2 linked regions of the Drosophila melanogaster genome follow. The protein of the gene in region 2 interacts with the protein of the main gene of each other region in a pairwise test. Each region holds a gene or a part of one and is shown on either strand. Other genes may lie near its edges.

Region 1 (6,666 bases), on a different chromosome or scaffold from region 2:
GCTGAAGATATTAAAGATGTGCTCTCCATGATTCAAGTTGAGTTTTATAAGATTCCTATTTTAATACCAATTTGAGATACTTTTGAATTGATCTGCAGGAACTGGCTGACTTTGAGAAGATGAGCAATGGTCCCCAGCTAACAGAGGAAGGTAAGAGATGGCGAAACCCTTACCATAGTAATGAAATAATGGTAAAGTAATGGATTGTAATATGACAGATCTTAAACGAGACGCAGGACTCACTGGTGGCCAGGAGTATTGTGAAGTCTATGTGCTTGTAGACAACGATACTGAGTAAGTGCTGTAGTTCTTGGCATGACCTGATTAACTTGTGGGCTTGTTCTCCTATTCTAGTCAGGCGATTGGGTACTCCATTTGCTACAAGGCATACTCAACGTGGCAGGGACGGTACTTCTTCGTCGAGGACATCTATGTCCGCCCCGAGCACCGTAAACGCGGCGCCGGAAAGCGAATCTTCTTGGAGGTTGCATCGCGGGCTGTAGAGCTTCAGTGCCCTCGCCTGGAGTTTAATGTACTGGAATGGAATCCTGCACGCAAGTTCTACGAAAGTCTTGGTGCCGTGGATTTGACAGATAAAGAGGGCTGGCACTACTACCGCGTGGAGGAGCAACAACTGGCCAAATTGGCCGCGGATCTGAGGGCAAAAAAATCTTAACTTGATTTGATTTTCAATTTTTACTACTTTATAGTAGGGCGATAAATAATTAATAATACTTGGCCATGGGCCATATGTGCTATGAGTACATTGCAATTAATTCGTTTGGCTTCTCATTGATCCCCCGCCACACTTGCGATGACATGGATCTGCATGCTCTTCGTGGAGTTGTAGACTTGACCGGGCGGAAAGGGATGCACCTTGGAGTGGCCATCGGTTTTACTTTTGCCACCGGCAGTATACTTGGATAATCGAATGCTGGGCATTGGTAGAAAGCCGGTGCTCAGCGGCATTACATCCAGCGATATGGAATGACTGTCGACGTCCTTCATGGATACGACACCTAAAAGGTTAAGTAAAAATTAGTTAGTCAACAAGTACAGACTGTTGGTTCATCGAAGTAAGCCAATTTTCTTTTTCAGTGTTAAATGTTTCCAATCAAAAGCAAGGGCAAATCTAGTTAGTGCTACGTGTGTCCTATTCCAAGGAACTTACCCATATCTTAAAATGCAAAAGTGAATCGTGTGTAGAGAAACAGAATTAAATCATAAGCAAAGAAAGAGAGAGAGTAGTAAAGAGAATCCAACTTACCCGCTGAGCGACCGCAAACGGCCCACAGATTCTGATCGTTGAGCACCTCGTACATGAGATCCGTGTAGGGATTCTCATGCACCTTGGTGATCTTCAAGTTCATGTTGCACACGGTGCGCAGACGGCACAGTTCATTGGGTTCCAGCTGCGCCTGCAACTTAAAGAGCGTTGTGTAGTCCACCAGATCAAAAGCGCAGCCATACGTTCTCCACACATCAGGCTGCGACAGTGATGCGTATTTGATTACAAAATGCACTTTTACGACGGGCAGCTCGTGCTCCGTTTTGAGGGGCTCAACTTGAATCTCGTACAGATAAGTTACAGTCAGGGATTTGTAGATTTCCTAGAAGACGAGCTCAGGAGATCAGCAATTTTAGATATTAAATTACATTGCTATTTAGTTACAATGGGCTGCTGGGATTCCGGATTAAGATCCAACAATTGCACACCGGGCACATCGCACTTGACTTGAGCGTGCTGCAAAAGGAGATGTGCTTCCATGCCCTTCATGATCACCTGCAGGAACTTCTGAGTGCCACACGTGTGAAGCCGGCAAGTGGCCTCCATGGCTGGTTGAAAATCGACGGCGATTGGGAGCTCAGTTCGAGACCATGGACAATTGAGGGCGATGTGATGCTCATGGTGTTTAGACACCTTTCGGCCCGGCATATCAGTGAGAACCTCCAGTGGGATCCTACGTTCCTCGAACGATTTGAATTGCACTAGTGGCACTTGAAGCGTACTCTCAAATGATTGGTCATCATTATAGGCTGCTTCATCATCCGTATTTCGCGCCTGTCGAATGCGAAGATTCTTGGAGCAACGCAGTGTGATTTTTGCATCGGGCGGAAAGATGAAACTGCCACCGGAGACATTTAGGCTAATCGGCTGCACTATGCCAGCTATCAGAGTCTTGAATTCCAGCGTGGCACTTGCCGGCTTGGTGCTAATCTCAAAGGTGGCAGGCATAAATGGCAGCTGTTCCGACAAGAACTCCAGGCTGGACATGCTAATACATAGCTTAAAAACAAAAACGATTGAAGATAGGCCAAGAAAACTGATGCAACGTGATCACCCACCTGTTTGAATTGCCAGCAGCCCACTCGAGTGGCCTTTGCCTTCATCTCAATTAGGTTTACGCCCGGCTGAAGGGCAATGTTTTCCGCTTGAACAAAATTGGTGAAGTCCGCCTGGACACTTGGTGAAAGTTTGCGCTTGGTGCTGCTTGTTCGTCGCACGGGTTGCTTGCTTTTTGGCAAGTCGCAGGCCACAGCGGCAGAGTGCAGGCGATTGTCCTGTTTGTAGACTAGCTGAAGCGAGACCTTTAATCGTGATGAGGTGTCCTTGGCCTTTACCGTCGACGGGGAGGCAGTTAGGCTGACATTCTCCATGGCCAGCTCCAGAGAGGAAGCTTCCAATTCGTAACAAAGCTTAACATTTTCAGCTACGACCCCGCGCGGATAGAGACTTTCTACTTTTAGCTGCACTAGAATATAATCATCCTGTATAATAGGTTTCTGGTTAACAACCTCGATGTCCAGAATGCGAAAGTGATCCTCCAGTACACAATAGTTGGCATTCTCTATCGACGGCTGTGCCGAAAGCGTCGTCTTAAGTGTTTTCAGTGACTTGAGAAACTCGTCGAAATAAAATGTTCGCACTAAGGTCTCTAGTTCTGCGCAACACGAGATGGAGCTACATGTCTTGGTGTAGGCCAGCGAGTCGCCCATCTTGCGGTAGCAGTTAGCTAGTTCAAGCAGCGTCTGCGAGCTCAGCATGTGCCAGTTCTCTGCCTTCAGCTCCCTGAGAAGATCCGTAAAGAATCCAACAGCTTTATGTGGCTCATTTAGAGCGCAGTAGAAGTTTCCCAGGTCCAGGCCAACCAAACGGGCCGATCGCAAGCGTGTCACATGCTTGTACGTACTGATGGCCAACTCTGCCAGCTCCAGGTAGAGCTTCTGGAAGGCTTGATTCGAGCCCAGGGCTTCCTTAAGCTGCTCAGCCCCCGATTTCTTGGGCTTACGATTGGGAGACCGGTCTCGTAGCTGAGGTGTCGCCTGGAGGAACTGATGCTGCTCGGACGGCGCATCTCCAATTCCCGACGATAGCTGCACCACTATGTGCAACTGCTCCGAAGTTGGCGTGCAGCCGGGCAAGAGGCCACACAGTTTGCCGAGCTCGTAGAGCTTATCCTTGGCCAAGTTCCAGATGGGAGCACAGTGCTGGAAACATGTTAGCTCGTTGGGTTCCATAGCCTGTTCGCACAGCTGCAGGACTTCCAGAGCACAAACAAACTCCCAACAGCAAAGAGCGCCCTCCTGACACTCCAGCTTTATGAGCTCCACCTCGCGCAGTGTGGAAAACAAAAAGTTCAGAAGCCTCTTCGCGATTTCTGGGATGTCATTGCAAGTAAGCAGCAAATAGGCTTGACGTTCGAAAAGATAGTTGCGGAATTCCAACAGAGAAACGCCTTCATCGCGGATTTTGTTCCTCATTTCGAACTTGTCCGCTCGGGTCAGACATATACCATGGAAAGCGTCCAGGGGCTTGCGAAAATGGTTCAACCACTGCTGCTTCTCGTTGAGACCAGTGTGAGTTATGAACTGCGAGAACATGGCGTCCAGTTCATCGTACTGTATCAACGCCTCGGTGGGCAATTCCAGCTTTTCAAAGATCAACGCAAGGTCTTCCTGCATAAAGAAGTATTGGCGGAAATCCCAGCCTTCAATGTTTCTCTTTTCGCGCTTGCTCCGTATTAGTTCCTCGTACTTAACTATGTTCCGATTGTAGCTGGTGAGCATAAGGAAGCGAATACGCTGCACTAGGCAGCGGAAGGACTCGGTGGATTTCTGTTCAAACTTGGCCGGGTTCAGAACTGAGATGCAGCGGTCGTCGTTCTTCGTGCCAAAATCCAACCGTATCTTATCTAGCACAGTGGTGCGTGGCATGAAGTTCTTTGTCTTCCGCATGTCCAGTGTTTCGACCAACAGAATCATCCAATCCGAGACGCCATAACTGGTTAATGTTTTTAACCAAATGTCGATTGCCTCCCTGATCGTGGCTTTGTAGGTGTCCACATCCTGAAAGATAGTTAATGGAGGTGGATTTAGAGATTCCTACAGGATCAGTTAACTCACATTGCACTCGGTGACGAAAATGTGCAGTATGGGGTGCTCCAAGATGCTCCAGTCACCCTGCTTGTACTTCTCCAAGGCCGCAACATTGAACTGCTGTGCCTGGGCTTCCAAGCGAACATGTTTCGTGGGGCGTTGGAAAGTGCGTCGCCACTCGCAAGTGTCCAGTGGAATCGCGTTCAGGATCTGGGACTCCAGCGATCGGAACAGCGGGCACGAGCCAGAGTCTGTAAGTAAAGGTTTGATATGGGATTTATTGTGTTAATTTTTTACAACTCACATGTTATTATGGGCTTTATCTGCATTGTTTTTGTAAATTTCGTATGTTTTTCATTTGGCAAACGAAAGCCACACAACAATCTCAACCAAACAGCTGATAAGGCGAGGGCGGGGGAATCGATTGTTCGTTGCTATCAATAATCGGTTGACCAATTTAAAAAATATTTTAATTCCTAATGCAATGAACCATTAAATGCTAGCCTAATACAAGAAATTAATAATCTAATTAAGCAGCTTTAACTATTCGCTCAACAGGTGTGCTTTCAGCAGCCCTGGTCAAGGGCGTAGAGAAAAAGTAGAAGGATATGCAGAATAAAATATGGTTAGATGAACCAAACTAAATGGTTTTTAATTGGTAGAGAAAGCCTTCTTTTATTAAAAAATATTAACAAAAAATGTTTTCACTTAAATTTGTTAAGGGGTATATGAGGGGTATATCCCTTTTGCACCACACCTCAGTTTTTTATGGCTTGGCTAAAAATCGATACCACCCACAGTCGCCTATCGAACAGCTGATAGTGAAATCAGATTCGGTAGCTAATTGAAAACGAAACAATGAAGAAATAATATTTGTTTTTCACACGCCACAAAGAGACACTTAAGAGAAACTTTCACTGAATGCGCGGCCAGGTCTCGACTGGAAATTAGCCAGCCCCAGCATGGACATGGCCAGGAGCATTTTTGGCCGCGACCATGAGGGTTACGTGGGCCGTGAAGAGCATACGGTGCGTCTAAATTGACCAGAAAAGATTGCTTATCATGGTAATTAATATTTATCGTTCCACTGCCAACAGCGCAAACTGCAGAACCTGGGCTCGGAAGACGATCTGGGAGAGCTGCCGCCTATGATGGAGGAACTAAGTGTGGCCGATGGCCTGCGACCAAATCCCGGTGGGCCATTCTCCGCTCTTACCGCCTCCATGTGGCCACAGGAAATCCTAGCCAAGCTGGGCGGTGGCGCGGAATTGGCTTCCGGCCCAAACGACCAGCCGGAGTACCGTTTTGACGAATTTGGCTTCCGGGTGGAGGAGGAGGACGGTCCGGAGCAGAGCTCCAACAAATTGCTGAGCATACCCTTTGTAGAGGACGCGCAGCAGCGATTGCAGTGGATCGCCCACCTGGAGTTCTCACACAACAAGGAGGCTGCCGAGCTGAGCTGGGAGCATGTGGATGTAATGCTCCCACGCACAGAAAAGCTGCGCAATATGGTCCGTCAGGGTATCCCGCACACGTTGCGTGCCCAGATGTGGATGCGTCTATCAGGAGCGTTGGCCAAGAAGCAAAAGAGCGAGACCAGCTACCACGATATAGTTAAAGGTAGATCGAACGCGACAAGAAAGGTTATAAATACATTATTAATATACACCTAATTTGATAGCTTCTAGCAATGACCAGCTGATGACTTCGAAGCAGATCGAGAAGGACCTTTTGCGCATCCTGCCAACAAATGCCTGCTTTAGCAATCCGAATGGGACAGGCATTCCCCGATTGCGCCGCATTCTGAGGGGCATCGCGTGGCTTTTTCCTGACATTGGCTACTGTCAGGGCACCGGAGTGATCGTTGCCTGTCTGCTTCTCTTCATGGAGGAGGAGAACGCCTTTTGGATGATGGCCACCATTGTAGAGGATCTGCTGCCAGCTTCCTACTACAGCTCAACTCTTCTGGGAATTCAAGCCGACCAACGCGTGATGCACACGCTTATTGCCAACTACCTGAGCAGCGTGGACGAGTCCTTGCGTAAGCACGACATCGAGCTGTCTTTAATCACGCTGCATTGGTTCCTCACGCTTTTTGCCAACGTGGTGCATATGAAGATTCTTGTGCGTATCTGGGACTGGTTCTTTTACGAGGGCTCCATCGTGCTGTTCCAGTTGACTCTGGGCATGCTCAAGGTGAAGGAGCAAGATCTAAAGCATCTCGAGAACTCAGCACAGATTTTCAATTCACTGTCCGACATTCCCGGCGAGGTCACTGATGTCGAAGTG
Region 2 (4,964 bases):
TTCGGATTAAATTTGCACATGGACAGAAAATCTTTCACATATCTTAATAGCCGATTGCAATAATTATTTAAAAAACATAAATTTGTAATTGAATCATAAACATCGCGATGTTGGCTATAAATTCAAACAAAGGCATGCATTAAATGCATTTAATTATTCGCCAACTGATGCATGGACAATTAAAATCATCTCAATTTGGAAACGGAGTAAAATAATTTCAACAATATTTGTTTGCATTGGCAAGAAAAATATTGACCAGCTTTCAGCATCCTTCGCATATTAATTTTTATGTAGCCGCAACACACTGCGTATGCTTATTATTAATTCAAGCATTGCCCATACGTCATGTTGTGCCAGAGGACAATACAAGAAAAGGCCGAATGCGTCGACAGCAATTCGATTTCAAGGTGATTTATTATTTAAATTTCATGTTCCGAAACAAGTCTGGGCAGCAACAAGAAGAAGCAAGGGTTGCTGGAAACTGGTAAACTCAATGGCACGTGCACTTGGAAAAACTGAATCAAAATAACATGTATTCCATATTCAACTATTTGATCCTTACACTTGTTATTTTGGCTATTACCTTTTATTATTATACCCACATCATTTGTGTGATATCTATGTAATCATTATACAATACGTATACTTCTCAACCGTTAAAGTTTTTCTCAAATTCATAGCTTACACAATATAAGAAAATGTTGGGATTCGGGATGTTCAAGGATGAAACTTTGGAGTTTCCGCCGTTGTTCGCATTAATTGCAAAAGACATTAAAACTTTATAGAGTCGTGCTTATCAGTTGGCCAACATCGTCAGCTGGAAGAGCTGCAATGTAGCGAATCCACCACCACTAGCACCGAAAAACTTTCGTCCTGATGGCCATGGCAAGCAGGACACCAAGAGCGGTTCAAAGGGATGTGATGATGCGGGGCGTCCAGTGGACGTGCAAGTGGCCCAAAGAGCCAAATCCTGGGTCGCACTGGGTGGATGGTGCGGCTAACAGCGATGGGGTGGTGGTTGCTTGGTTGGATGTGGCCAATGGCGTAATTTATGTAGGCCCGCTAAGCCTTTTCATGCGTAAAATGTGTTTATATCTGCGTATAAATACGCGTACAACTGTGACCACGTACGGGATTGTGTACTATATGTGCTTATTGGGGTGTAAGAGATATATGTATAGAGATACAACCAGGGGTAGCAAAATAATTTGCGGTCGAAACAAAAAATCTTCAATACTACAGGATATTCGTGATAATTATTACTAAGATCTTCAAGAGTAAAAGCACTTATTTCTATTAAGATCAACCCCATCGATTTGAGGTGAGGTAATAAAAGAACCGCATTACGGTGTCCATGTGCATTAAGCTGCAATAAAAGTGTAATTTTAAACCAATGATAACAAAACAACAACTACTGGATGTGCGGCAGCTGCTCTGCAACTGCGCTGCAACTGCGCTGCCTCTGCTGCTTTAAGCGCGTCATCAAAGAGACACACACACACATAGAAGAGAGATAAAGCCTTTGTGTGTGTGTGCGCTTGCATCGGTGATGCTGGTATTAGTGCAGCTTTGTTATTGCGCCAAAAACCAAGCCAAGGATTTTTCACACATTTACGCCAACAAATGGACTGCAGCTGCACTGGGCAAAAGGATAGTACATAAATTTGATATCTGCATTATTATACTCATTAATATCGGGAAAATAAATGTTAGGTTGCAATCCAATTCCGGGATTCTACTTCAACATTTTCAAATGTTGGGTTTATTTATAAGATAAGAAATTTATTGTTAAGAAACACATCAAAATCCCTATAAGTTATATGATTATATTTGAATGAGAGAAATACTACAAAAAAACTATGTTCATATGTAAGTAAAATGTAAATGGGAGCACTACAATCTGGCTAACAGTAAAAATAAATTTTAAAGGAATTATTGTTATGCTTTGAAGGAATTTTTAAAGAAATATCGGAAAGCAACGATTTTTCCCAGTGTCCTGTTTGCTCCTGGCTGCCTCGCTCTCTCTTTCTCTCCTACAGACGACCTTCACTTTCGTGGGACCGACCGTTATATATTTTGTGTGCCTAACGCTTTTTTAACGTGTTATGTTGTTTCTCTATTTTCGCTGGCCCGCTGGTCAAATTAATACCCTGAGTGGGTGGTGCGTGTGTGGAGAGGGGGGCTGAGGCGATTGTCGATTTAAATAGGCCAACTATGCAGAAAAAACAACTTGTTGTTGGGCTGCAGGCACGCCATAAGGTGCACTTAAAAAGCGTGTTTTAAAATGAGCTAACCGCATGGCAAGGATATGGGCGGTTTGAACTAGATGTGAATTTTCCACACTTATTTTCCCTCTGGTTTTCTGTTATTTTTTACGGCTGTTGTTGTTGCTGAGAGAACGAGCGCTACAGCAACAACAAAAACAACAACAACAACAACAGCAACATTCGCGGATACACACATTTTCACAAATCAAAAAAGCAAACGAATATTGCCACACAAACCCGTACACAGAGAAACACACTCCCACACACACACATACACACAAATGAACAAGAGAGACAGACAGGGAAAATCTCTCATTTTTTATGGATTTTCTGGGAAGGCAATCTGCTTTCGCTGATGTTTGATTAAACAATTGCTTTTTATACTCCTGTTGACTATCGTCCATCATCTGCCCGCATTTCGCTGGGAAATTGGGGAAAACTGTTTACACATACATACGCACGCCTTTCGTTTTATTGCATTTTACACTTCTCGCCTCTTACACTTTTCCCACCTCATCCGTTCCTCCTTTCGTTAGCCGCACATTTTCCGCACTACTGCGTGTACATTTTCCACGCTTTCGATCCGGGAAATTCGATGCTGGCCCCTGTCTGTTTTTGGAAAAACAATTTTTCTGACACTTTTTCAGCCTTTTCTGCACGCACGGGGGCCACAAAAAACTTGGCCCAAACTGCGTCCCGCTTTTTGCTCCGCTCGGCGTTTTCTTGGGGGCGTTCAGACAAACAGTTTTCGACAAACTGAAAGTGAAAAGTAAATGCAAAAGCGCCAGCGCCTCCGACAGTCGGTAGTTTCACTCGGAGCATGCGAGTCCGAACCCAAATCCGAACCAGAATCCGGGACAGCAGCGAGATGCTCACGGCGTCGGCGCACTTCGACGAGCAAGTGGTGGCCACTGGCCTCTGAAGACGATGCAGAATCGAAACAGATGTTCATGTTGCCTTCCGAATGAACTATGATCAAATATTTATGGCTAATACCACATATCAATGGATTCATATCAAGGATATCACAATTCAGTCGCAGTCGATAGCCATGCATTTTTCACAGGATCTATAGTTTATTAGCCCCTTACCTGTTACCCACACTTAGCAAACCTTTATACTGTTTTGAATCGAATATAATCGAAAAAGAAAGTTACTTGAAACCGAATTGTATCTCCAAAATGTATAGTTTAATTAATTATAGTTAATTTATAATTTATTTATAAAAACATGACCAAATCTTAATATTAATTTGGTTCACCCAGCGCACCCAAACATGATTTGCAATAAATATGTTTTATTTTTGATAATACAACATTACAAATATCACTGAATATCTATCAAGGACACGGCTTGTACACATGCTTATGGCAAAGTGCTTTCCAAGCCAAAAAATTCACTAAAGATTTGGCCCTGCAAACATTTTCCATTCCATAGTTTATGGGCCAATTGGGATAATTATGAATTTTTTTAGTTGAACGCACACATTCAAATCAAAAATAAAAATCTAAATTTAAAAAGAAAAATTTTCAACAATCTTCAGACCAACTGATTATTAGCAAAATCTTTTAAGGCCAGTTTTAGCCAATCTTCTTTGGAAGTGAAAATGGAAGCCTGGCCAGTTCTAATATTACTAGGCGAGTGAGGGATTTCGGAGTGATTTTCTATTTGGCGGCCGGAGCAGATCCTTCGCTCTGCTGAGAGTCATTAAACTGTTTGTGCCACTCGAGATTCATCTTTGTGACGGATTCTCCTTTCTTGGCGGCCTGCTTGCCACTGTACACCATAATGGCGCATCCCACGGCGGTGAGTGCGATCATTATGTTGGCCAGGCGGATGCGCATTTTGTTGCGGCAGCGCTCCATGACATCCTGACTGCAAGTTTTGACACCAAAACTTAGACACCTGTTGCATTTGCTCTCTAAGAATCGGCACTTACCTAACGAAATTGGGAATCTCGGACTGCGACTTGTATTTGCCGGTCCAAACCAACATACGGCGCTCCAGATTGTTTGGCTCGTGGTTCTTGATCGTCTCTCGCAACATCTGACTGGTGCCGAAGGATCTACGCACCAAGGCGCCAATTAACCCCGTTTTGCTTAGCATATTGCCTTTTTTAATCGTTTCACAAGTAATCTTGCAAAAGAGAATTGGAATTTTATGCAATTCGATTAACAGTGGTTGCTAACATAACAGAGCTGTCACACGGTCGATAACTGTGAAAACAGCTGGGATTTCTTTGGTCACCCTGAGAGACGTTCACACTGTACAATGAAGTGATTGAAAAAATGAACAACAAACTAAACTAAACTGGAAATTCTTTGTTAATCAGGTGAAATTTTGATGGTGCTAAAACTGCTGGAAAAAATAAATCTGATATTTAAAAATATATAGTAGGGAAAAATATTAGAAGTAAAGCAGTGTGACCATCTCTGAAATATGCTTAGTCGACCCAGCAACGGTCACTCTGCTATCCCCTTTAGTTTTCGTTTGCGGTGGAATAAAAGTCGGAAAAGTCAATTAAAAGCCGACTGCCACACGTCCAGAAAGCGAATTTGCGATCAAGGTCAAGATGAGCGAGTACACAAGCATTCTGCAGCGCGAGTTTCCCAAAATCGACCACGAGCTGCTCACCTATGTCGTTGGCGTGCTCACCGGAAGTAAGTGCCTTGCACTAGCCTGTGATCTTTTATTCTT

What was found.
Region 1: the proteins of Shal (region 2) and SIDL interact in a two-hybrid assay, tested with the Drosophila melanogaster proteins (one study listed by BioGRID).

What each region holds. Positions count from the first base shown.
Region 1 is NT_033777.3:15,214,072-15,220,737, forward strand, and holds SIDL (shal interactor of Di-Leucine motif), read right to left. Parts: upstream 4,804-6,666; 5' UTR 4,707-4,803; coding exon 4,682-4,706; intron 4,629-4,681; coding exon 4,405-4,628; intron 4,348-4,404; coding exon 2,347-4,347; intron 2,288-2,346; coding exon 1,673-2,287; intron 1,611-1,672; coding exon 1,268-1,610; intron 1,020-1,267; coding exon 790-1,019; 3' UTR 691-789; downstream 1-690. Other genes in the region: CG4210 (uncharacterized protein), read left to right, coding at 1-36, 99-150, 219-294, 355-676; CG12241 (uncharacterized protein), read left to right, coding at 5,340-5,405, 5,475-5,997, 6,059-6,666. UniProt on the Drosophila melanogaster protein: May play a role in vesicular transport from endoplasmic reticulum to Golgi. Has a role in one of the several mechanisms underlying dendritic localization of Shal channels.
Region 2 is NT_037436.4:19,581,543-19,586,506, forward strand, and holds the start of Shal (shaker cognate l), read right to left. Parts: upstream 3,027-4,964; 5' UTR 2,780-3,026; exon of another isoform or gene 2,769-2,779; intron 1-2,768. Other genes in the region: CG9231 (uncharacterized protein), read right to left, coding at 3,932-4,142, 4,207-4,373; CG9330 (uncharacterized protein), read left to right, coding at 4,840-4,927. UniProt on the Drosophila melanogaster protein: Mediates the voltage-dependent potassium ion permeability of excitable membranes.